Linked DNA regions of Stegostoma tigrinum. The protein of the gene in region 3 purifies or fractionates together with the protein of the main gene of each other region. This does not show direct contact. Links are inferred from orthologs where the notes say so. Each region holds a gene or a part of one and is shown on either strand. Other genes may lie near its edges.

What was found.
Region 1: the proteins of fam98a (region 3) and nufip2 purify together in Homo sapiens (co-immunoprecipitation; 3 studies listed by BioGRID and IntAct, with this or other methods). This does not show direct contact. The link is inferred for Stegostoma tigrinum from reciprocal best matches to the Homo sapiens genes FAM98A and NUFIP2.
Region 2: the proteins of fam98a (region 3) and atxn2 purify together in Homo sapiens (co-immunoprecipitation; 3 studies listed by BioGRID and IntAct, counting the BioPlex papers as one, with this or other methods). This does not show direct contact. The link is inferred for Stegostoma tigrinum from reciprocal best matches to the Homo sapiens genes FAM98A and ATXN2.

What each region holds. Positions count from the first base shown.
Region 1 is NC_081380.1:31,902,398-31,909,788, reverse strand, and holds the start of nufip2 (FMR1-interacting protein NUFIP2), read left to right. Parts: upstream 1-3,994; 5' UTR 3,995-4,033; coding exon 4,034-4,184; intron 4,185-7,391. UniProt on the Homo sapiens protein: Binds RNA.
Region 2 is NC_081379.1:23,200,333-23,208,150, reverse strand, and holds the start of atxn2 (ataxin-2), read right to left. Parts: upstream 3,447-7,818; 5' UTR 3,154-3,446; coding exon 3,053-3,153; intron 1-3,052. UniProt on the Homo sapiens protein: Involved in EGFR trafficking, acting as negative regulator of endocytic EGFR internalization at the plasma membrane.
Region 3 is NC_081362.1:81,689,454-81,697,942, forward strand, and holds the start of fam98a (protein FAM98A), read right to left. Parts: upstream 3,095-8,489; 5' UTR 3,080-3,094; coding exon 2,925-3,079; intron 1-2,924. UniProt on the Homo sapiens protein: Positively stimulates PRMT1-induced protein arginine methylation. Involved in skeletal homeostasis. Positively regulates lysosome peripheral distribution and ruffled border formation in osteoclasts.

The DNA.
Region 1 (7,391 bases), on a different chromosome or scaffold from region 3:
TTTATCTCTTCCAAAACTCCATGTTAGCTTAAACTCTTCAGAGATGTGTCTACCTATTCTGTAAGACCACAACATACAAGGGTAGAATCAGACCATTCGGCCATCAAGTCTGCTCTGCCATTCAACCATGGCTGATATGATTCTAAGCCCCATTCTGTTGCCTTTTTCCCATAATCCCTAATGGGGTGGCATGGTGACGGCTCAGTGGTTAGCACTGCAGCCTCACAGCACCAGGGACCTGGGTTCGATTCCAGCCTCGGGTCACTGTCTGTGCAGAGTTTGCACATTCTCCCCGTGTCTGCGTGGGTTTTCTCCGGGTGCTCTGGTTTCCTCCCACAGTCCAAAGATGTGCAGACTAGGTGGATTGGCCATGCTAAATTGCCCATAGTGTTCAAGGGTGTGTGGACTTGGTGGGCTGAAGGGCCTGTTTCTACACTGTAGGGAATCTAATCTAAAACCCCTTACTCCCCTTATGGCAATCAGCTGAATCAAATTCACTAAATATCTCTGGGATTGTGATGTGCATCTTTCCTTACTCTGCTCAAATGTTTTATACCTTTGACATATCAAACTACCCTTTTCATTTGATTTTACGTTATTGGTCTATTCCCTCATTGGCTTCATCCTTGCCAGTATCTCTAACTTCATCTAGCAGGTCAAATCTGAGAACATTCTTGCAATCATGATCTGTTGCCTAGCCTCCATTCCTAAATCCACCGTTCATGGCTGTGTCTTCATCCTTAAATTCGTAACCAAATTCTGCAATACCATACCTAAATCTCCCCAACTCTTTTTCCTCACACAGGATCCTCTTTACAAATATACCATTACACAAGCTCTAGACACCCAAGTCTCTGTTATCTATGTTAATTTTTCCCTCATGAATCCCCTTGGACTGGTATTTTATATGAAAGATGCCTCATATGTGCAACATTTCTAAATTTGCCTTAACAGGGTGTGAAGAAAATCACATCAGCCTCCAAATTTATTTGGCAACAAAGGATTAAAAAATTACTGACTGCATTATCACTGATGTATTGAGCAATATTTATACCTCTGTCAACATGACAAAATTCATAATTGGTTAATATGACAAAGGTGTATATAGGAGCTTGCTGTGCTTAAATTTGTTTCTGCATTGTCTGCAATACAACATAAGGACAGCAGATACATGAGAACACCACTGCCTGCAAGTTTCCCTCCTAACCATTCACCATCCTGCTGTACATATATTGCTGTTCCTTCAATGTCATTGGGTTAATATCCTGAATCTCCCTCCCTGGTTATATTGTTTGTCTAACTATACCACATGAACTGCAGTGGCTCAACAGACAGCTAACCACCGCTTTCTCACAGGCAACTAGGCATGGACAATATATGCTGGCCACCAACTATCATCCACATCCCACGAGTGAATAATAAAAAACTGCAAAATTAATTCATTACTCGCAAAGAGGTTTGGGATGTCCTACTGTTTGGAAAGTGCTATATTTTTGTGTGATGATAAGGCACAGAAGGCCATTTGATCCTTCATGCCCTTTCTATCATTCCAGTCTTTTACACAACGATAAAGCACATTACACCATCATAACATTCTTAAAAAGAGAGACTTGCATTTGTATAATTCTGTTACTATTCACAACCACCAGTTATCTCAAGTCGCTTTGCTTTAAAAAGCTAAGGAACAACCTATGGTCCCAAAAGGCATTAAATTAATTCAAGGGCATAAAATTGAGTGACAAAGCACAGAAGGAGGCCATTCAGTTCAGCATGCCTGCTCCATCATTCTAACAAATATGAGGCAATAAAGGCAATATAATCTATTTATGTTAGTGGCCGATCACCGAAACTAGAAAGCAGGTCTAGCAGCACAATGGTTCACACTTCTGCCTCACAGAACCAAGGAACTAGTGTGATTCCAGCCTTGAGTGGCAGTGTGTGTGTGTGGAGTTTGCACATTCACCCATTTTTCTGCCAGATGCTCCAGTTTCCTCCCATAGTCCAAAGGTGTGCAGGTTAGGTGGATTGGCTACGCTAAATTGCCTACAGTCTCCAGGGATGTGCAAGCTAGACGGATTAGCCATGGGGAATGCAGGGTTACGCTTGGGCAGATGGTGTGGACTTGCAGGGCCAAATGGCCTGCTTCTGTACTCTAGAGATTCTATGATTCAAATGAAATTAAACAGTTATTTATATATACAATTCATTCATGGAATATGGGCTTCACTGGCTGGGCCAGCCTTTATTGCCCATCACTAATTGCCCTTGAGATGATTGTACATATCGTGTTCCACTGCAGTCCACGTGCTGTGGATAGACCCACAACATGTTAAGGAAGGAATTCCAGGATTTTGACCGCGTGATAGTGAAGAAACAGCGATATACTTCCAAGTCAGGGCCTTGTAGTGCTGTAGGTATTGGCCCTACCTCTTGGATAGCTTTATGTTCAATTGCCAGCTGCCCTGAAGGAATAACTTTATATATTTATTTGTTATACCTATGACAGGACATCATTTGTGTGTATATTACAAGTGTCGGGTTCAATTGAGGCATTCAGACTTGTTTCCTTTGTCTTCCAGTCCAGAGCCAGAGGACACAACATCAAAGTGGTTATCCATTTAAGACAGATAGGAGGTGAAAAAGATAGATTCAACGTTTCAGATCTGGTGACCCTTCCTCAGTTCTGACCAGACCAGAAACCTTAACTTGTATTTTCCTTCACAGATGCTACCAAACTTCTTTATTGTTCCTGATTTACAGCATCCTCAGTTCTTTTGGTTTTTAAGACAGGAGGAGGAATGTATTGTCTCAGAATGGTAAATGTATGGAATTCTTTAGTATTCAGGTCTGTAGAGGTTGGATCACTTAAGTATATGCAAAGTTGAAATAGATTGATGTTTAATCACAAAAGGTTGTGGGGGGAGAAAAGTGAAACTGAAGATCAGAGCATTTTTGATCAACTGGCCCAGAAATGTTAATACACACCTCAGCAGCAGGTGGGTGTTGAGTCTTTTCCCTGGACGGTCAGAAGCTGAGGGGTGACCTTGTAAAGGTCTATAAAAATATGAGGGGCATGGATAGGGTGAATTGTCAAGGACCTACCCGGGACACCTAATCCAGAGATAGGGACACTCCAACGACCCCTGCTGGAGTTGAGGAATATCTGATCATCAAAGATCTGGTTGAGAAGCCTGCAGATTGGATGGGCAGAGTGGCCTGCATCTACCAATCCGTCTTTTATGGTTACCCTGAAAGGAAGATTTTACGAGCTGGGGAAGATGTAGGCGGTTTGGGAGGCTGGATGATGGAAGCACGGCCGGCAAAAACAGAAATTGTTGGAAAAACTCTGCGGTCACAGCAGCACCTGTGGACAGAAATCAAGAGTTAACGTTTCGGGTGCAGTGGTCCTGCTTCGGAAGCCGAGAGTTTGTCACTGATTTCCAGCGTCTGCGGTTTTATTTTCTTTTTTAAAAAGGAGAAAAAGCGCGGAAAGACAAAAGAGAAAAGCAATTGTCGGCCGAGGCGCAAAAAAAATACAAAACCCTAGAAATTGTCCGCCGACGGTAAAGAGCTATTCTATCCATTTCTCAACAAAGTCAAGCACCGACCTGTGCCGAGGGAGGCCGAGCTAACGTTTCCAGTTCAGTGACCCTTCAACTGACGGGGGTGGAAAAGGAAGAGGCCGTTCAGCCCCTCGCGTCACGTCAGCCCCTCGCGCCAACTCATCAGACAATTGGGTCTTGTGTTCGCCACGCGAGGTGTGGGGGGGTGGTGGAGGAAGCAGGTCCGTGTCGAATGTGCCGTTCGGAGTAGAGCGCGACGCGTGCGGTGAGGGGCAGAGACCAGCGAAAGGAGTAGGGGAAAGAAACAGTTGGAGGAGGAGCAGCAGATCAGGCCCGGGTGTGTCGAATCAGCTGCCGCCAGTCGGGTAAACGCAGGACGCAGGCGCAGTGCCACCTCCCCGTCTGCCTGTCTGTCTCTCCCTCTCCCTCTCTCTTCCCCCCCCCCGCCCCCACACCCACCCCCTCGTTCAATGGACGAAAAGTGCGGCCGCGAGCAGCCCTCAGCTCCCGCTCCTCTCACCAATGGAGACGCCCAACAGCAGCAGGCCGCCGGCGACCTAATCACCAAAGTAAGCGATGTCTCAGACGGTCAGAAAACGAAGAAAAAGAAGAAGAAAGCAGGTGAGAGCGCAACCGAAGATCTTATCAACCGGTGTAAATGTTATTGACGGGGAGAGGTTACGTAAAAAAAATGTCGGTTGATGATGGTGGTGGGGGCTGCGGGGGTGGGAGGGGGTGTAGGTTTGCAGCCGCGGATCGTGGTGACCTTGGTGGCTTCAGTTACACTCTTTAGGCCCCTGAAGGCCGTGCCGGATCTAATATTCCCACCACCACCACCACCTCCTCCGCCTCTTCTTGGTAACCGTGTCGCCGTCTGTCTCGTCTTTCCTTCCACCTCCTCCTTCACTCACAGCCTCTTTTCTGAGGGAATGAGGCGCGGTGCCGCTGGGGGAGAGGGGAGACGGTTGGCGGTCTTTTGCTCTATTTCTGCCGGCGTGAGTCGGGGCGGGCAGGCCGCAGGCCCCGGCCTGTGGATGGTGGTGATGGTGGTAGTGTTGGTGGCGGCGATGATGATGATGCCGGCTCACTGGAATGTTCTTCAGCTGCCATTTCCTGTCCGCCATGTTGGAGGAGACCCACACACACTCACTCCGTGTGTCTCTCTGCCTCCCCTTGGAGTTGGATGGTCAACGTTTTAAACAACAGCCCCCCACCACCCTGATGTACGTCACGCAAACGGGAGGAGGTTGCATTGTTGCTGAGCTTTTTAAAGAAAAGAAAAAAGATCTTTATAAATAGTTATCCCACTCTCCTGCGTGCGCGCGCACACATGAGTATTAACCGGGAAAGACAGGGAGTGTTGCTAGCGGCCCCTTCCTCGCCTCGTCTATTTATCCGCTCCAGCGTTAGACTTTTCTTTCCCTTTTCCCCACCCCACGTTTTTCTTCTTGACTTCAAGGGTAATCTCGTCCTCGACGGTTAATGTCTTCCAGATTCTTCTCGATGCTTCATCTCTTTCCTTAACCACCCCCCCCGCCCCGCTCCTTTCTCAATCAGGGTTGGTTTCATAAAGCGAAACATTGCTTACACAATTTGCTGTCTTCCCCCACCCCACGCCCGCTATTGAAGGAAAATATGTATTCGTGATTTTTTTTGGAAGGGTCCATTATTTGGCAGGTGCAGTATAGACTTTGCAACGTGGGAAAGTCGATGAGGGGTCCAGTTACAAGCGGGATTATCGAACACTTTGAAAACCTTAAATTATCGCAAATACTTAATTTTAGGACAAATGTTACAGTATATCAACAGCATCTTTGGGCCTTGCCAGGGACTACTCCAGGTAAAAGAGCCCTTACGCAAAAGACAGGCAGAAAGCGTAGCATTGACAAAATAACCTGATGTAACTTGTTTGATTTACGTTAAGGATCGAATAGCTTTGATTTCAGAAATCTTTAGTACGTTTTTGTGTCTTTAGATGCATTGAATTAAATGTCTAGATCAGTCATATGTTTGTCATTAAGTGTAAGGTTGAACTAGTACTTCTTACAAGCTGGGTTTAAATATGCTTGCAGTATGTTGTGTGTATGGGTGTACTTTCAAAAATATGTGAAATTGAGTATCCAGTGATGTAAGAAGTATTCCAAATCTGTAGTTTATCATAAATGTTTGAATGCTGGAAAATATGGAATTAAATAATTAAACTTTAAATTAGCCTTCAAGATATCCAGCATGTCCACTATAATAATTTGCACAGAACATTGTCTTAATTTCAAACACTTGCGAAGGAGATCCAAGGGATTGGTGGTATCGTGAAGAAACTTTTATTTAAGCACTTACTATTAATTGTTGAACTGTTTATATCTAGTTAGGTATTTGCCATTATTATAATTAGCCTGTGTGAAAAGAGGTCTTCCATCTATGTGGGGCTTGCTGTTGCTGCAATTTATGAAAGTAATCTCTTAGCTTTGACAATGATATTGAGTTTGTTCCATCAGTGTGAATTTCAAAATCATAATTTTTAAATTTGTGTAAATAGGCAAATAATCCCCTTTCTGTTCCTTTAAATTAGGTGTTGTTCAGCTGTAAATATATTTGTTCAAAACTTTGCTATTCCTTTCCAAATGGTTTTATGGCTTAAGCTCAAAAATTGTTCCATATCAATGCTGCATAGTATCCTGCATATGAGCAATGACTGTCAATTTAGAAGTTCGGTTTCAGGACTCTGCTTTATGTAGGAGTTCATTGAGATGGTTCTGAAATTAATTAAAGACCACAAAATATATTTTGTTAACAATTTTCTTGATGTACTGGAATCAAATCAACCACAAGTGAATCAGGACATGCTACTATTGTAAACGTGTAGGTTTCTTTATGTTGTTGTCTTGAATGTTTTTGAACGTGGCTGAGACAAGGGCACTTTATCTCAGCTTAATGTTGCTGAAACCCTTATCCATGTTTTTTGACCCCTATGCTACCTTGGGTAATCCTGGTTGGTCTTCCATGCTCTACCCTTTATGAATTTGAAAATAATCCAAAACTTTGCCCATGTACCAAGTCCTGTAGATCCTTCCCCTGCTAACCTGCTGTTTGGCTCCTGATCAATCTATTATTTGCAACCATGCTTTCAAATCTGCCTCTGCAACCCTACCACTCAAACATCTGGCTTCCTGAGTCTTCTGATTGTAATAACTTCATCCTTGCTTGCCAAGGCTCAGCTCTAGAACTTTGTAAGTATCTCTGCCTTTCTTTTGGTCCTCTGGATTTAAGCGTCAATATCTTTTTGGCTAAGCTATTGGCCATCTTTGTCTTAGTGTGGGAATTTAATATATTGTGTTGTGAAGCAGTCTTGGTCACTTACTTTTGTTTCAGATGTTATTGAAGTGCAAATTTTAATTTGGGCATCTGGGCATTTGTCCAGAACTAAAACATCAAAGTATAGATAAAAATGCTGCTTTTGCCTCTTTATTTGATTGTTTGGCTTAAAAATAAAATCAACTGCATCTTGTTTATTTGCACCACTTTTTGAACTTCTCTAATTCTATGTCATTGGGTGAGTAAAATCATGATAGTTCTTCACTTGCGTTAAATAACTCTTGAGCTGCTCTGAATTGGATATGAGTTTATTCAGGGCAGGAAAGAGCCCAGAGAAATTTCTGGTGAAATTCTGGAAAAAAATTGTTTCATATCAATGCTGCTGCTTGAAGTTTGCTCTGTACTTGCCTTGAAGTGGCACTTTTATTGCAGTAATAGCTTTACTTGAATAAAATTGCACAACTGAAGTACAACATTTTCTTGAAATAGAATGTGTTTGTTCAGTTTTCCACTGCT
Region 2 (7,818 bases), on a different chromosome or scaffold from region 3:
CAACAATACATAAATGTTCACTGCATTCACTTAAAAACTGTTGAGTGAAATAGACCAATGGATACACAACAGATTTGACAAAGGATCACTGCTGGCACTTGCCAGTCAGAAAGGGCAGGTCATCCAGTATAGATTAGGAACTTGTGACCAAATTTATGCACCTCTCAGATCAAGGTCCACAACTGTAGCCCAGATTCATAAAAAAGGCCTTGTTGTTCATTTACTATCGAATAAATAGCAAATAAATGTAGAATCTGTTATGCTTCAATCAGGGATTCTGTGAAACTAGAGTGAACAAACAGCCACACCTCATCCAAACATAAATCCACAAGGACAGTATACCAAAGTGGATTATCATACATTTTGGCTCAAATTAAACAAGTAGGTTTTAAGACATTTTCTTGCCGTGATTGAAAAGACCAACATGAGAATGACTTTCACAGTCATTTCCAATCTCGAATGAGCAGTTGTAAGGTAACGGAGTTAGGACAAACAGAGAAAGGGTTTTGAGGATGCAAGAGAAAAAGATCTGTCCTGGAAATTAGCAAGATACTATTTTTCACCTTGTTACATTGTGTCAGAGAAACCAAATTGAAAAACTAACTGATAGCCTTTATTCAATGGTAAGTTACAGACTTCTCAGCCAGGAAATAACAAATTCAAGGTAAACTCCAGACTTCTGGCCCCATAGAAGGCTGACCTAAATAAAGTGTGCACTGAATTATTGGAATTTAAAAAACCCAGCTGTTCTCCATACAAGACGATAGGCAGGGAAGTTCTTCAGTGTCCTGCCCAATACATATGCTTCATAATTTATCTTGTTTCTTTGGCAGTGAACAAATTGGTTGTCACATTTTGTTACATTACAGTAGCTACAATTTAAAGAAAGAGTATTTCATTAGGTCTGTAATGTTTTAGGCATTCTGACGTTGTGAAAAGCAGGAAAAAAATCTAAGTTTTTACCTCACTCACTTTCTCCTGGCTGCAAGCAAATGCCTAAACATATAAGTGAATAAGCGCTGATTTGCCAAGTACATATGATTTTTCAAACAGTAGTTTGAGTTGAAAAGCTCCAAAAGGCTTGATATGGGGATTAGGGGCTTTTAAACCTACGATATCTCATGTGGTCCAAGGAGATGTTGAAAGATCAAGCAAATCACACAGGAGATGGGCAGATTGAAGATGAATTGTGAACTGGTGTCAAATCAGGCAACTATTCATTTTAACATATAAAAGGAAAATTACTATAAAAGCTTTGAGTTATTTCCGACTCCACCTTGGTTACATGTCCGATGATTTAAATTTTAAAATTATCTGTCTTGTGAAAACAGAGCCAAAAATCTTCCAAGACAATTATTTGAAGCAAAGCTATTTGTATTACGTCCTTAAAAGTGAGAAAGTGTTTTTTCCCCAATGGAAGAGAAATATTTGAGGAAAGGCTTAAGAAACAACAGTTCCTCTTGTTTTGGCATGTATAATTAAACTCATTCACATTGACACGATCATAAAATCCTTACACTAAGAGAGGTTATTCAGCCCATCAAGTCCACAACGAGCATTCAAAAAGCATCTGACACAGACCTACTCACCCCGATCCCTGTAACCCTGTATTTCCCATGGCTAATCCACCTAACCTGCACATCTTTGAACAAAAGCAATGAAATCAATACAATGCCAAACACAAATTTCAAAAATAAACAAGTCAAACCGATCAGTACAAACTAAACACAAATCTAACAAAATATCTGCCACTGTTGGGAAGAGGAAAGCTCATCATTCCAGAGAGGATAAGTATATAATTATAGTTGTAAGGAACAAAATACTTGGAACTTTCATAATTAACTTCAAAATACTATATAATTATTATGAGTCAAAAACACTGGTATCATTAATGGAGTAAAGGGTTAAATCATTTAGTAATAAGGAGATAAAAACCAATGTAAATATGATTCAAATGCCAGTCATCAACTCTGTTGCAACACATGGGCTGAAGCATACACAAACTTAGTTTTTCAGAGTACCACTGAAGTACATCTTCAGCTCAATTTTAACTATTAGAGGATAAATATATTTAATTTCATAATATTCTGTAAAATGTTCGCATTGTATGTACAGCACTGTCACAAAACGTACAGCACAAATTCATTGCAAGGAACAAATTTTTGTAGAAAGCTTAATATTCCTCACGCACAGTCAATCTCACTAAAACAGTACGGTTATTTAAATCGTCATGTAACATACAAGACATTGTTCTTTTGAATACAATTGTTCTGATTTTAATGTCACATCATAACTCTGCATTATTGACGAATTACAAGTAACTTTGAAATTCTCAGTATGATCTTAATTTAAGATTATTGTAATAATTGTTCTGCATTTCGATATGTTCGTGTCTAACGAATATTCATTGACAATGGTTTAAACCTTGAACAAGTTCCGTTTCATAAAGATACTTTTGTTGAGATTGAAGAAAATGTAAAGGTCTAAGAAACTTTGAACACTGACGCTGTATCGCACCTAACGGATTTCCCTAAAGGAATGTATCCTCTTTAAGCATTGGTTAATCTACATCTGCTTAATGGCTGTATTTTAAAAGCCGCCCGAATACAGATGTCTATGGTTTCTGGCGTGTAGGCCGCATCCTCATAGCGGCATTAACCCGCTGGAAGATGAGGCCTGAGCGCAAGGCCTGGACACTACCGTTTCGTTTCTCGGTAACGCGGGGCCCGGCATATTGAAGGGGAAAGGCGGGCCCATCAGTGACAGAAGGCCGCCTCCAGAGCCTCGGGCTAAAGTTGGACCAATAGAGAAAGAGGGGGGGGACAGAGAGGGGAAAGAGGGGGGGGGACAGAGAGGGGAAAGAGGGGGGGACACAGAGAGGGGAAAGAGGGGGGGGGACACAGAGAGGGGAAAGAGGGGGGGGGACACAGAGAGGGGAAAGAGGGGGGGGGACACAGAGAGGGGAAAGAGGGGGGGGGACACAGAGAGGGGAAAGAGGGGGGGGGACACAGAGAGGGGAAAGAGGGGGGGGGACACAGAGCCTGTTCATTACCTGCCGCCTGACTGTCTCCCTCCTCCGCCAACTCCAGCTGCTGCTCCACCAGTCCCGATGCCGCCGCTGGGCTTTCGGCTGTTGGGCTGCTTCATGGACATGATGGTGGGCGATGATGGTGATGGGGGAGGGCAAGGGGTGGGAGAGAGATGCCGCTTCCAGTCACTTCAAACCCTTGAACAGAAAAGGTCCGGCCCAGCATCCACAACACCAGTGAAACCCTCCCCCCCTCCCCTTCTCCCCACCCCCGCCGAGGAATACGAAAACGTCGTCAGGGACAAGAGTACGGATGCGGCCTCCGTATCGCCTGTCCAGGCCTCAAAGTCAGTTAGCGCCGCAACGCCCGTTGCTATCGCAAAGCTTCGGCCGCCACCAACAACACGGTGAACGGACGAGAATGGGGGGGGGGGGGAGGGGAGGGGCAGAGAGGGGTCGGGGTGGCGGAGGGGGGGGGAGGTTTGAGGGGAGGGGCAGACAAACAGGATTCGGGCACGCCGGCGTGTGCGCGCGCACCCACCGACCGGCGCATTCGCACCTTCCCCTACCCCCAAACCACACCGGCAATGCGGTCGATCACCCCTCCCCCACCCACAAAGTAAGTTGGCTCTGCATCATCGGACTCGACGCTGCTGAAAGAACGGCCAGGAGATGGACGGGAACGAGTGGTTTTACGACGGGACTTCCCCCCCCTCCCCCTTTATTGTTACTGTGTTTGGCTTTGCCCTCATTCCCCCCACTGCTCTCCGGTCCTGTTCTTTCGGACTTCTGACCTCGTCGACGAGCGCGGAGGTTTATTTTGCGGGTGAGGGACAAGCTCTCAGATGGCCGGAGTAGTGATCACTATCTCAGCTTGGTTGAATTGAGTTCATTTTTACTTGTGATGTTGATCTTTGGACATTGCACCCTGCTCAGCTCTTTCTTAGGAAAGGTCAACATTTCCTCCTAGTCTCACTGAGAACACACCCAACTTGTATTTACATAGCACCTTTCATAATAGGACATCGCAAAGCATGAAATGTTATGCTATCGAATAAATGGCAGCCATCTAAGCACAGCAAATTGTTGCAAACAAAATAACTAAATTATGTAACAAGGTGTGGAGCTGGATCCCCACAGCAGGCCAAACGGCATCAGGAGCGGGAAAGTTAACGTTTCGGGCCTGTTATCTCTCAACTAAATTAATATGTATATATTATGATGAGGGTGAAATAGTTGCTAGACTAACCAGAATAACACATGCTTTGCTTCAAAATAGCACCGTGAGATATTTTACAATTACCCTGAAAAGGCACATGGAGCCTTCGTTTCTTGTATCTGAAAGGTAGCATATTTGACAATGTAGGATTCTTTCTGCACTGCTGCAGTGTCAGGTTTTTCTGTGTGGAGCTCTGCAGTGAGAAAAGAAGACAAAACCTCTTGGCTCAAAGGCAAGAGTGCTACGACTGAAGGTAAATAGGCAAATTGTAATTGTAAACAGACATGGATAAATTGGTACAAGGAAAGTAGGTAATTGTTCGGACCAACATTTATACATCAACAAAGGGAAAAGCTCATATCTACTATTAGTTTTGTGCATCACACCTCTACTTTGCAAGTGTACCTCGTATTCCAAGATGACAGTCGCATTGAAGCCTGTTCTTCACACCTTAGTTATAATCATGCTAATTTGATGCATTAGAAAGATTTGAGAACTTACAATGAATTTACAGCCTATTCAAATTAGTCTATTGTCGGGACACGGTTGATATCAAAAGGTTGTATTTATTGGGCGTGTTCCATTCAACTGCATGGCGGGCAAAACTAATCCAGGAGAATATATAATCCGCCATGAAATTTATACACGTATAGGTCAAGTAAAGCAGATAATCATTCTCATAAAATGTCATTTATCTGAACCATAAATCTTTTTCTCTCTCTGCAGATTCTGTATGACCTCCTGAGTATTTGTATAATTTTCTGGTTTTTTTCCAGATTTGATTTTAGTTTTGGAATGGTTGATTGATATTGGTCTAAAATAGTTAATGAGCCATCAGTTAGGTCGTTATTAGAAGTTAGCAACTTCCATAGCTTTTTTTTTACTGCTAAACATAAGTTTTAAGTGATTGAATTTAGTTTATGATAGAGGGTTACAAGACAAGAGCAATCAGTTTGATCCAGGACCAGCCACGTAATTAAGTTTTTTTAACAAATTATTTTAATAACCATGTTGTTACTTCAAAGTGCCGATTACAAATGCTTAAAATGTTTGTACAAAACTGTTAAAAACAGATTTACAGAAAATAAATAAATGTATTCATAATATTGTTGCAGGAAATGTGTACATGTCCTTGCTCTCTTCTCAGGTTCTCCTCTGACCTCGTTTCCTCTTAAAGTGATGACTATCACTCGCCCCAATTTAGAATATTTAATTCATTGTTTCAAGTTTTCAATTACTTGAACTGTATACTCTCCATTTTTGATCTTCCCTTCCTGGACTGCTTGCTACCTCCAGAAATGAAAGCCCACTAAATCCGTAAGACCATAAGACATAGGAGTGGAAGTAAGGCCATTCAGCCCATCAAGTCCACTCCGCCATTTAAATCATGGCTGATGGGCATTTCAACTCCACTTCCCTGCACTCTCCCCCTGTAGCCCTTGATTCCTTCTGAGATCAAGAATTTGTCGATCTCTGCCTTGAAGGCATCCAACGTCCCGGCCTCCACTGCACTCCCTGGCAATGAATTCCACAAGCCCACCACTCTCTGGCTGAAGAAATGTCGTCTCATTTCAGTTTTAAATTTACCCCCTCTAATTTTAAGGCTGTGCCCACGGGTCCTAGTCTCCCCGCCTAACGGAAATAACTTCCTAGCGTCCACCCCTTCTAAACCATACTAATAATAAATCCTACTTCTGTCCAGATCACCCTTCTGCTCATTTCGCAACTCTACTTCCCCTTCAAAGTTTTACCAAAAATCTGTAGCTCAGGTTGTGGGGGAGGTCATTGACTTGCTTGCCAAGCTGGCTTGTTCTCATTCAGATGTTTCATCACCATGCTAGGTGACATCATCAATGGAGTCACCGATGAAGCTTCATTGGAGGCTCCACTGACAATGTCACCTAACATGTTGATGAAACGTCTAAACAAGAACAAGCCAGCTCAGCCAGCAAGTCAAAAATCTCTATTTCCCCTTCGCCTGTTTCTCTGTCCCACTTACTCCAGTTAATTTACAGATGATTCAGAAATAAAATCCCATTTGAGGATTCTCAACCCCTTCAACCATGGTAGTCAGGATCCTCAACCAAGTCTTTTCTATTCCGTTTGTGTCCCCAGTCCCATCCCACTGATGGGAACTTTTAAGCTTAATCTTCAACTGTGCCAATTCCTGCTTTCAATGGGCGACCTTAATCTGCCCGTCTTGCAGTAATCTCTCATGTAACATATCTTGTCTTCCTTTCCTTTTTCTGAATGGATCATTACTCAATGACACAGCTTTATTCTTTAACATTCCTATCACCTACAATTCTTCTCTAGTACTTTTCATTCTCACACCACCAAAAGATATGAGCTGAAGTAGGCCATTTAGCCTATCAGGTTGTTTCCACAATTCACCCATCAAGACTGCTCTACCATTCAATGAGATTACAGCTCCAAATACTCCTTTTAGTTTATGTATACCTTGTCCAACCTAGAATGGTACACAGATTAAGGGATACCTCCATATTGTATGCATTTGCAAATCTCATATGCTTGCCAATTCAGTATCTTTCTTCCACCCTGCCCTATCTGCTTCAGTTGAATAGGCTAACATAAATTCAAGAAACAGTCTGTAATATTGACTTTAATAATTTCTAACCTTAAGCTCCCATTTATTCAGCAGGAACTGCCAACAACGTGGGATGAGTATACCAACAATTTAGGGGACTGGGGAAAAAATGTGGTTTGTATTTGAGACTAGAAACCTCTAATGGAACGCATTTCTAGCTTGAAGCCTACAAAGTTCTGTGTTTCCATTTTTATTTGCCTCAGCTGCCACTCAATCACACAATCTATAATAGAAAGAGAGTACGAGAAATACTCAGCTCTTTCAGCATCTGTGAAGATGTTTTCTTAACAAAGTTATTTGACATATTTGTATTAATGCCTAATTGTTTTAAAACTTCGATTATTGTTTACCATCCATATTCTGGAAGCATAAAAATTTTTATAGTTGCAGTGGGGAATTCATAATTCCACAGCAAGCCAAATAAGCATAACTAATTTGATTTGTTGGAATTAAGTAATTTGCTCGTGATACTAGTTTGAGGACATGAATTATTTATGTTAGTTCAGAATTTTGTTTCATACAGTTGAACTTGATCAAAGAATTACATCAATGCATTAAAAATGAGATCCTTCTTATCAAATTGAAATAAATCATTACCAGTAGTTCTATCCAAAAATCATATATGGAACCACTTTTTATTAAGCCTGAAATAAAATGCAAGCATATTTAACACTAACAGCTTGCATTTCCATAGTCTTTAGCACAATAAGGCATCTCAAAGTGTTTCTCAAGTAATACTAAATAAAACCAGACACTAAACTGCAGAGAGATATTAGGGCAAATGATGAAGCTTGGGCAAAAAGGTATTTTTAAAAGTCATCCCATATGAGAGCTAGCAAGGCTGACAGTTTAGAGAAGAAATTCCAGAACTTGGGTCTAGACAGTTGAATGCAAGGCAGATAATTGTGAAATGATCCAAATTAATGATGCACACAGACAGAACTGGAGATGCGCACTCGTGAA
Region 3 (8,489 bases):
CATTCCCTACATTTGATTGATACAAATTAATTAAACTAATCTAGTTCACAAAATTACTCAGAAGAGACATCTTCAAATTTATCCACTGGTAAAGGAGGTCTGCAATAGTCAAAGGTCTTACCTATGATCCACTTTCCTTTTAAACAGTCCATTTCAGTTGAGGCTGTGAAAGGAGTTGCATTATTTCAATCTTCCTTGTCACATTGAAATGTACGCATTGTTCAAAACTGTTTCAGAGATAGTAGGAACTGCAGATGCTGGAGAATCTGAGACAACAAGATGTAGAGCTGGATGAACACAGCAGGCCAAGCAGCAGAGGAGCAGGAAGGCTGACGGTTCGGTCCCAGACCCTTGGGTCTAGGCCCGAAACGTCAGCCTTCCTGCTCCTCTGATGCTCCTTGGCCTGCTGTGTTCATCCAGCTCTACACCTTGTTGTCTCACTGTTCAAAACTGACCGGAATGGACATCTAAAAACTTTCTAACTCTAGTTTATTCAGTACGTCAAGTGTTAGACTCCTATTCCTTCAATACAGGATATCTGGTCAGCGTGGATGAGCTGGACCATACTGTAAACTCTAAGACTCTTTGAATACATATTTCTGCTTTGTTGGTATGCTGGTTGCAAATACATTTCAATTGTCAATTTTAGCCTGAACATTGCAGTCTGGCAATTTGGTATCTTTCTCCTTATGAATTAATTCCACTTTCCTACTCAAATCTTCCATTTCAATTTCTGCTACAACACTAAGTCTTAACCATCAACTACAAAAAAAGTCTCCTTTTTACCCTACCATGTCCTTTTGTTCTAAAGCATTTGGGTGTAATTAGAGATCCCCCGTGGCAAGAGTTAGACTTCTTTGCTGGAACTCCTAACATGCTGCTTCATTCTACAGTCACCGAATTTCTCCTCTCATTCAAGGTATCATATTGGTAAGTGTCTCTGGGCCCTCTCCCTGGCCTTGAAAATTATCTCAAAACGAGGGCACCAAATTTGTCACAATTGTTTAAGTAAGATTTAACCAATTATTTTGAGAGGTTTAGCATTACCTCTCCATTTTGGTATGCAGGGTTTCCATTTATAGAAATCCTTCTAAAATACCTTTTCCATTTGCCCCTAATGCCAAGAATTCCATTGCTGCAAATGCAAACTGCATCCATTCTTTTCAACAAGATCTAGCATCCTACATGTCATGCGATGAAGACAAGTGCTGCAGATATTTTCTAATCAATTCACCAGAAATGCTGTAACGTACATTTGGAGCAGGTGGCACTTGAACCTAGGCCTACTGACTTTGGTTTGAATAGTTCAAAGTTATTCAAGAAAATGTTGAGAATTACAACTCATTTATATAGATTATTGCCATTGGGAGATACAGGCACAATGCCACTAGACAAATAATAGAGGCAAAAATGGATAGCAAGTGTGAAGCTGAATGAACACAGCAGGCCAAGCAGCATCTCAGAAGCACAAAAGCTGATGTTTCAGGCCTAGACCCTTCATCAGAGGACAAAAAATGGAAGTTGCCAAAAGAAGCTTAGGTCCTGCAGCATACGTGGGGAGAAATCAGTTAACATTTTGGATCAAGTAACCCTTCTTCAGAACACCTCAGCACCCGCAGTTCTTTCAGTTTTAATTATATAATACAAAGGCTCAGCCAATGATCTGGGGCATAGATCAAATCCACCACAGCAGCTGCTGGCATATAAATTCAATTAATAATTCTGTAGTTGAAAGCTGATGATCATACACAGCCTTTTAATGTCCTTTAAAGGAAGGAAGGAAACACTCCGCCTCCTGCACTGCCACAACGATGCCACCCGAAGATTGCAGGAACAGCAACTCATATTCCGCCTGGGAACCCTGCAGCCATATGGTATCAATGTGGACTTCACCAGTTTCAAAATCTCCCCTTCCCCTACTGCATCCCTAAACCAGCCCAGTTCATCCCCTCCCCCCACTGCACCACACAACCAGCCCAGCTCTTCCCCCCCACCCACTGCATCCCAAAACCAGTCCAACCTGTCTCTGCCTCCCTAACCGGTTCTTCCTCTCACCCATCCCTTCCTCCCACCCCAAGCCACACCCCCAGGTACCTACTAACCTCATCCCACCTCCTTGACCTGTCCGTCTTCCCTGGACTGACCTATCCCCTTCCTACCTCCCCACCTATACTCTCTCCACCTATCTTCTTTACTTTCCATCTTCGGTCCGCCTCCCCCTCTCTCCCTATTTATTCCAGTTTCCTCTCCCCATCCCCCTCTCTGATGAAGGGTCTAGGCCCAAAACGTCAGCTTTTGTGCTCTTGAGATGCTGCTTGGCCTGCTGTGTTCATCCAGCCTCACATTTTATTATCTTGGAATTCTCCAGCATCTGCAGTTCCCATTATCTCTAACACTCCATCCCTACCTGGTCTGACCTATATGTGAGTCAACCCTTAGCAATGTCGACTCTTAATTGCCTTCTGGTCAATCACTCAGCTCAAGGACTCTGTCCGTCACATGACAGTGCCCACCCCTCTGCAATGGTGAATCAGGTTTTTCAATGTTGGCAAACGACGGGTTAGTCAATACATATGCAAATTACAGGAGGGTGAAATAAAACGGGAGTGGGGGTGGGGAGTGAAACAAGAAAAACAGGCAGGCCTTTGCTGCAATGAAACACGTGTCAGCAGAGCGGAAAAGGGCAGAAGCTTTTTACCCACAGTCAGGCCGCAGCGCTAGGGCCAGCTCAGCAAGCTATTTATAACGGGCGCAGGGTCAACTTGACTGCCCCGTGTGAGGGGGGAGGGGGCCGAAAGGGGGAAAAGCCACCCGCTGGTTAACACCTAACAGTGAGGCCCGGTCCGGCAGAGAAACCTCCAGAAGGTGGACACGGGGGAGGAGGAGGAGGAGGGGAAAGCCCTGGGGCCACACCAAGCGCCTACCCCAGATCCTCCAGCGAGTCAAGGATGTCATTCTCCATGGCGCAGCCCAGGCTGAAGTGCGTGGCAGCGGCGAGCGGCCTCTCCTCACGGCCCACACCGAGCGACCGTCCCTCCCCGTCAGTGCTGCCGCTCCGCGGCTTCTGCCCGGTTGGCATGTCTGGGGCCTCATTCTACACGCGGGCAGCCCCGTGCCTGACGGCCGGCTCCACACAAAACAAAACCTCCACCTCGCAAACAACAATGACAATGAAACAGTTCTTTTGTCGATCGAAACCTGTCCGTGAAATTAATAAAAACAAATAGCGCTGAATAATACACTTAATCTTCATTCAGGCGGATGATTAGTCACGAAAGCCCCTGACACAATTTCTGCTGTTGCCATGGCGATTGTTCAAACTTTCTTTCTGAGGGTATGTTCTAACGGTCTTATTTAACATTTTTAGTCCATCCCCGTTTGTCATGTTAAGATATTCAACCGGATTTGTTTTGTTTTTAAACTATGATTGTCTTGAAAATGAACCTATTTATAATTCACACACACACACGCATAAATATGTCTCTTTTCTGTCTCTGATTTTTGGTCCTGTTGGCTGCTTTTTGTGCCAGTTTGAAAACCATTCCCATGAACCCAGCCAAAACATGAGGGTTTGCACAGAATGTTAAGTTGCAGATTTGAGAGCTTACAATTCCTATATCATCTCTTCCCATTTAAGTTAACAGCGCAGAAATTGGCCATTTCTGGCCAATTGTCAAATATCCATGTCAGTGTTGACGTACCAGACCATGGGCGTCCTCCTTCCCCTCTTCATCTCGCCCTATCAACATAACCTTCCAAAAGCAAAATGCAGTGGATGCTGGAATCTGAAACAGGCACAGAGAATTCTGGAGAAACTCAGCAGGTCCAGCAGCATCTGAAAAAATTCAGAACTTGGAATGAGAGTGTTGTCTTGTGAGGCAAGATTGGATTGGGGTTATGAAGAGAATGTTTTATCCTATGACAGAGATTGTCCATTTAAAACTGAAATGGGTTTTTTTTGCCTTAGTGAGTTGTGGGTCTTTGGAATTCTCTTCCTGAAGAAGGAGTGGAAGCAGAATCCTTGAATGTTTTAAGACAGATGTAAGTAAGGTGTGAAAAATTATTGGGGTAGGTGGGAATGCAAATTTGGGTATACAATCAGATGAGCCAAGATCTTATCAAATATTTGACCAGACTTAAGGGTTTGAATGCCTTGCTCCTGCTCCTAATTCTGTAAAGACAGTGTCTTTTTTATTTTCCTGTATTGAAATGAGAAAATAATTGTTTTAAAACCAAGGATTGCTGAAGCATTTCTACACGTTTTTGGAAGCGGTAACCCAACACTCATTTTAGACATGATTTACACAGCTGTTGCTTCAATTATAGTTTACTGACGAGCTTAAGCCAGATGGTTGTACACAAATAGCGCTTCAGTGGGCAACAAGTAGCTAATTTGTCTATGGAGTTCTGACCAGATATTGAAACATAATTCTTAAGGGGCTTGATGGGGTAATGCTGAGAGGATGTTTCCTTCATGGTAGAGTCTAGAATCATATGACATCATCTCAGAAAAGGGGGACCAAATTAAGACTGAGATGAGGAAGCATTTCTTCTTTCAGAGACTTTCCACAGAGAGATGTGTGAGCAGAGTTCTTAATTACATTTAAGACTGAGATAGATTCTTGATTGGTAGAGAAGTCAAGGGCTACAGGAAAAAAGCAGGAAAGTGAACTTAGAGTCATACAGATATACAGCATGGAAACAGACCCTTTGGTCTAACTTATCCATGCTGACCAGATATCCTAATTAAATATTTCCCATTTGCCATCATTTGGCCCATACTTAAACCCTTCCTATTCATATACCCATGCAGATACCTTTTAAATGTTGTAATTGTACCAGCTTCCACCACTTCCTCTGGCAGCTCATTCCATACACACAGAACCCTCTGCATGAAAAAGTTGCCCCTTAGATCACTTTTAAATCTTTCCCCTCTCACCTTAAATCTGTACCCTCCAGTTTTGGACTCCCCCATCCCAAGGAAAAGATCTTGTTTATTTACCCTATCCGTGCTCCTTATGATTTTATAAACATCTATGAGGTCACCTCTCAGCCTCCAATGTTCAAGGGAAAAAAGCCCCAGCCTATTCAATCTCTCTTTATAGCTCAAACTCTCCAACCCTTGCAACATCCTTATAAATCTTTTCTGAACCCTTTCCAGTTTCACAACATCCTTTGTGTAGCAGGGAGACCAGAATTGCACGGAGTATTCCAAAAGTAGCCTAACCAATGTCCTGTAGGGCCACAACATGACCTCCCTACTCCTATATTCAATGCGTTGACCAATAAAGGTAAGCATACCAAATGCCTTCTTCACTATTCTGTCTGCCTGGGACTCCACTTTCAAGAAAATATGAACCTGCTCTCCAAGGTCTCTTTGTTCAGCAACAATCCCCAGCATCTTATCATTAAGTGTATTCATCCTGCCCTTGAGGAATGCCAGACGACCCATGATTGCATTGAATGGCAAAGCAGAGCTCGAAGGGCTGAATGGCCTACTTCTGTTCCTATTCTGTATGGTCTTATGCAGACAAAGGCCTTCAGCCTGCCAACAGCTATGTGATTAGTTCTTAGATAGCTGAACAGTTTGGGCTTGTGAATAAGATACAGAGAAGTCGTTAGATATCCACCACCAGGAGCTGTCTCAACAACACCCACTTTAAGTCTGAAGTAAACCAGTTTATTTTTCCTTCAGCAGTTGCTAATGACTCAGCCAGAGAACTGCTATGAGTATGATAATGAAATGTGAGGCTGGATGAACACAGCAGGCCCAGCAGCATCTCAGGAGCACAAAAGCTGACGTTTCGGGCCTAGACCCTTCATCAGACGAAGGGTCTAGGCCCGAAACGTCAGCTTTTGTGCTCCTGAGATGCTGCTGGGCCTGCTGTGTCCATCCAGCCTCACATTTCATTATCTTGGATTCTCCAGCATCCGCAGTTCCCATTATCACTGCTATGTGTGTGAACCAGTCACCTTGTAGCTCCTGCAAATCAGTGAAAGCATTTAGAGGAAGAAGACTGAGAAACAGTATTCTGATCACCACAAGAATCATCTCAGCAGCCTTGTGAATGGGAATTTTTGAATTGCCTTTTCAGTCTGACTGTGTGTGTGTGTGTGTGTGTGTGTGTGTGTGTGTGTGTGGTGTGTGTGTGTATGTGTGTGTGTGTCTGTGTATTTTATAAGGGGGAATTAAATTCTTAACTAGTTGAGATGCTACTGGATGTTTCACAGTTGTTTATCTGTATTTGTAATAAATACTAATGCTTATGAGTACAGAAACTCGTTCTATGTTTTCTGTTAACCAGGATATGAAAGACAGGTAAATTGGGCAATCCTGGGTGCTTATAAAAATCTTTAGTCTTTATGATGACTCCAGGAATAGCAAGACTTGATTTCCAGTGTGTTACCTAAGTGAGGCATAACAGTTTGTATATTTGTATGTATGTTTACTACTGGCTCTTCTTTTATTCGTTCGTTGGATATGGGCGACGCTGGGTGAACCAGCATTTATTGCCTATTGCTAATTGCCACTTGAACTGACTGGTTTGATATACCTTTCAGAGGGCAGTTATGAGTCAACCACATTGCCTGGAGTCACTTGTAGGCCAGACCAGGTAATGATGGCAGATTTTGTTGCATAAAGTTCAATAGTGAACCAGCTGGGTTGTTACTACAATCATTACCTGGTGGCCATTAGGCTAGCTTTTAATTCCAAATTTTCATTGATTCTGACTTCATTAGCTGCCATATTAATGCTCTAGGTCTCTGGAGTATCAATCAAGTGATAATCCCACAAAGCATCACCTCCCCAGAAACATTGTGAATTATATATCCATCACAGCTGTAGAGAGACGTTGGTACATACCGATCATAAACCCCTATCCTTTGTGGAATAATACAGTATATCAGACTATGTCAATGGAATTTTCTACCAAGCCTTGTTATTTAAACATTGTTCACATTGCAGGTAAAACAGTGTAACTGTTGATCCTTTGTCAAGAATTTTTGGATTGTCTAAGAGCTAAGAATGTACCAGAGATAATTCTATAAGTTACTTGGAAAGATTGAATGGGAATCAGTGTAAATGTGACTTAATTTTTAAAAATATTTTTGTTTAATTCACGCTGTACTGTAAAATGTATTTTAAAACAGCATTTTATTTTTTCCAAGGGCAGGGGGCTATGGTGATGCTTTATATTTATTATTTCTTGGAGGGATTAGGTTTTGAAGGAAATGTGCAACAAAAGAATGATTAAAATTTTTGTGGAAATAACTGGAATGATTCGTTAAAAATGATTGTTGAAAGATCACTGTGAACATTAGAGATTTTTTTAACATGGCGCCCTAGGAATCACATGATTAATGATAACTGCTTACTTTGCTGTAGACCCTGCTGGGTCTGGTTTGAACACTGACTGGATGGAGAGTACTTTGGTATCTGGAATTAGTTGAGGACAAAAAAAGTACCAGGAAGTACTGTAGAGTTGATCTCTCCCATTTCTGAAAGGGTCTGCTTGAATTCAGGCTGAAATCGAATTGTTCTTCTGAAAATGTTTGGAGCAACTTCTCAGTCATGCATTTCTTGAGCAAGCTCTGAAAGAAAGACCAGAGTCAGCCTTGCATGATTAATTATTTGAACACGTGCTAGAATATCTGGGCAACTGGCTTTAGAACATTCCACGCTTAATCATTTTGCCTTCGAGAATAGCACATCGACAAAAGTATTTGTTTGTTTTCAGAAAATCAGTCTCTGGAAAGAAATTAATTTTATTCACTCTTTTCCTGAGGAGTGTGTGTTTTTGGCTGATATTTAGAGGGATAAGTGTTTGTACTTCAATATTAATGATTGTTTACACTAAACACTTGTTTGCATCTTCACAGAATAAATTTTGTTTTGATTATAAAATAATTATTATGTTTGTTAAGAAACCTCATTTTGATCTTACTGTTTAAAACCAGTTATAGATTTGGTCATCTTGGTGACCAGAAAAGATTTTCATTTTATATTGTGATCCATGGTGTGGTGGGACGAGAATGACAATATAATTCTCAACCTTGATCATTACAACAGACAAAGTTTACATTTGTAGGATGAAATTTACTGTTGCTTTATATTACCTCAGCAGTTTGATATGGTATTTGATGGAGACAACTAGCTTCAGAAAACCCATCAAATACCAATGGCCTATGGCCCAGGCAGATGTGTTTGTTTTCACTTGAGGAGACCACCTTCTCAGAAATAAACATGGGCAACCAACTAAGATAACAAAGTGTGAAGCTGGATGAACACAGCAGGCCAAGCAGCAGGCCATCTCAGGAGCACAAAAGCTGACGCTTCGGGCCTAGACCCTTCATCAGAGAGGAGGATGGGGTGAGGGTTCTGGAATAAATAGGGAGAGAGGGGGAGGCGGACCAAAGATGGAGAGAAAAGAAGATAGGTGGAGAGGATAGTATAGGTGGGGAGGTAGGGAGGGGATAGGTCAGTCCAG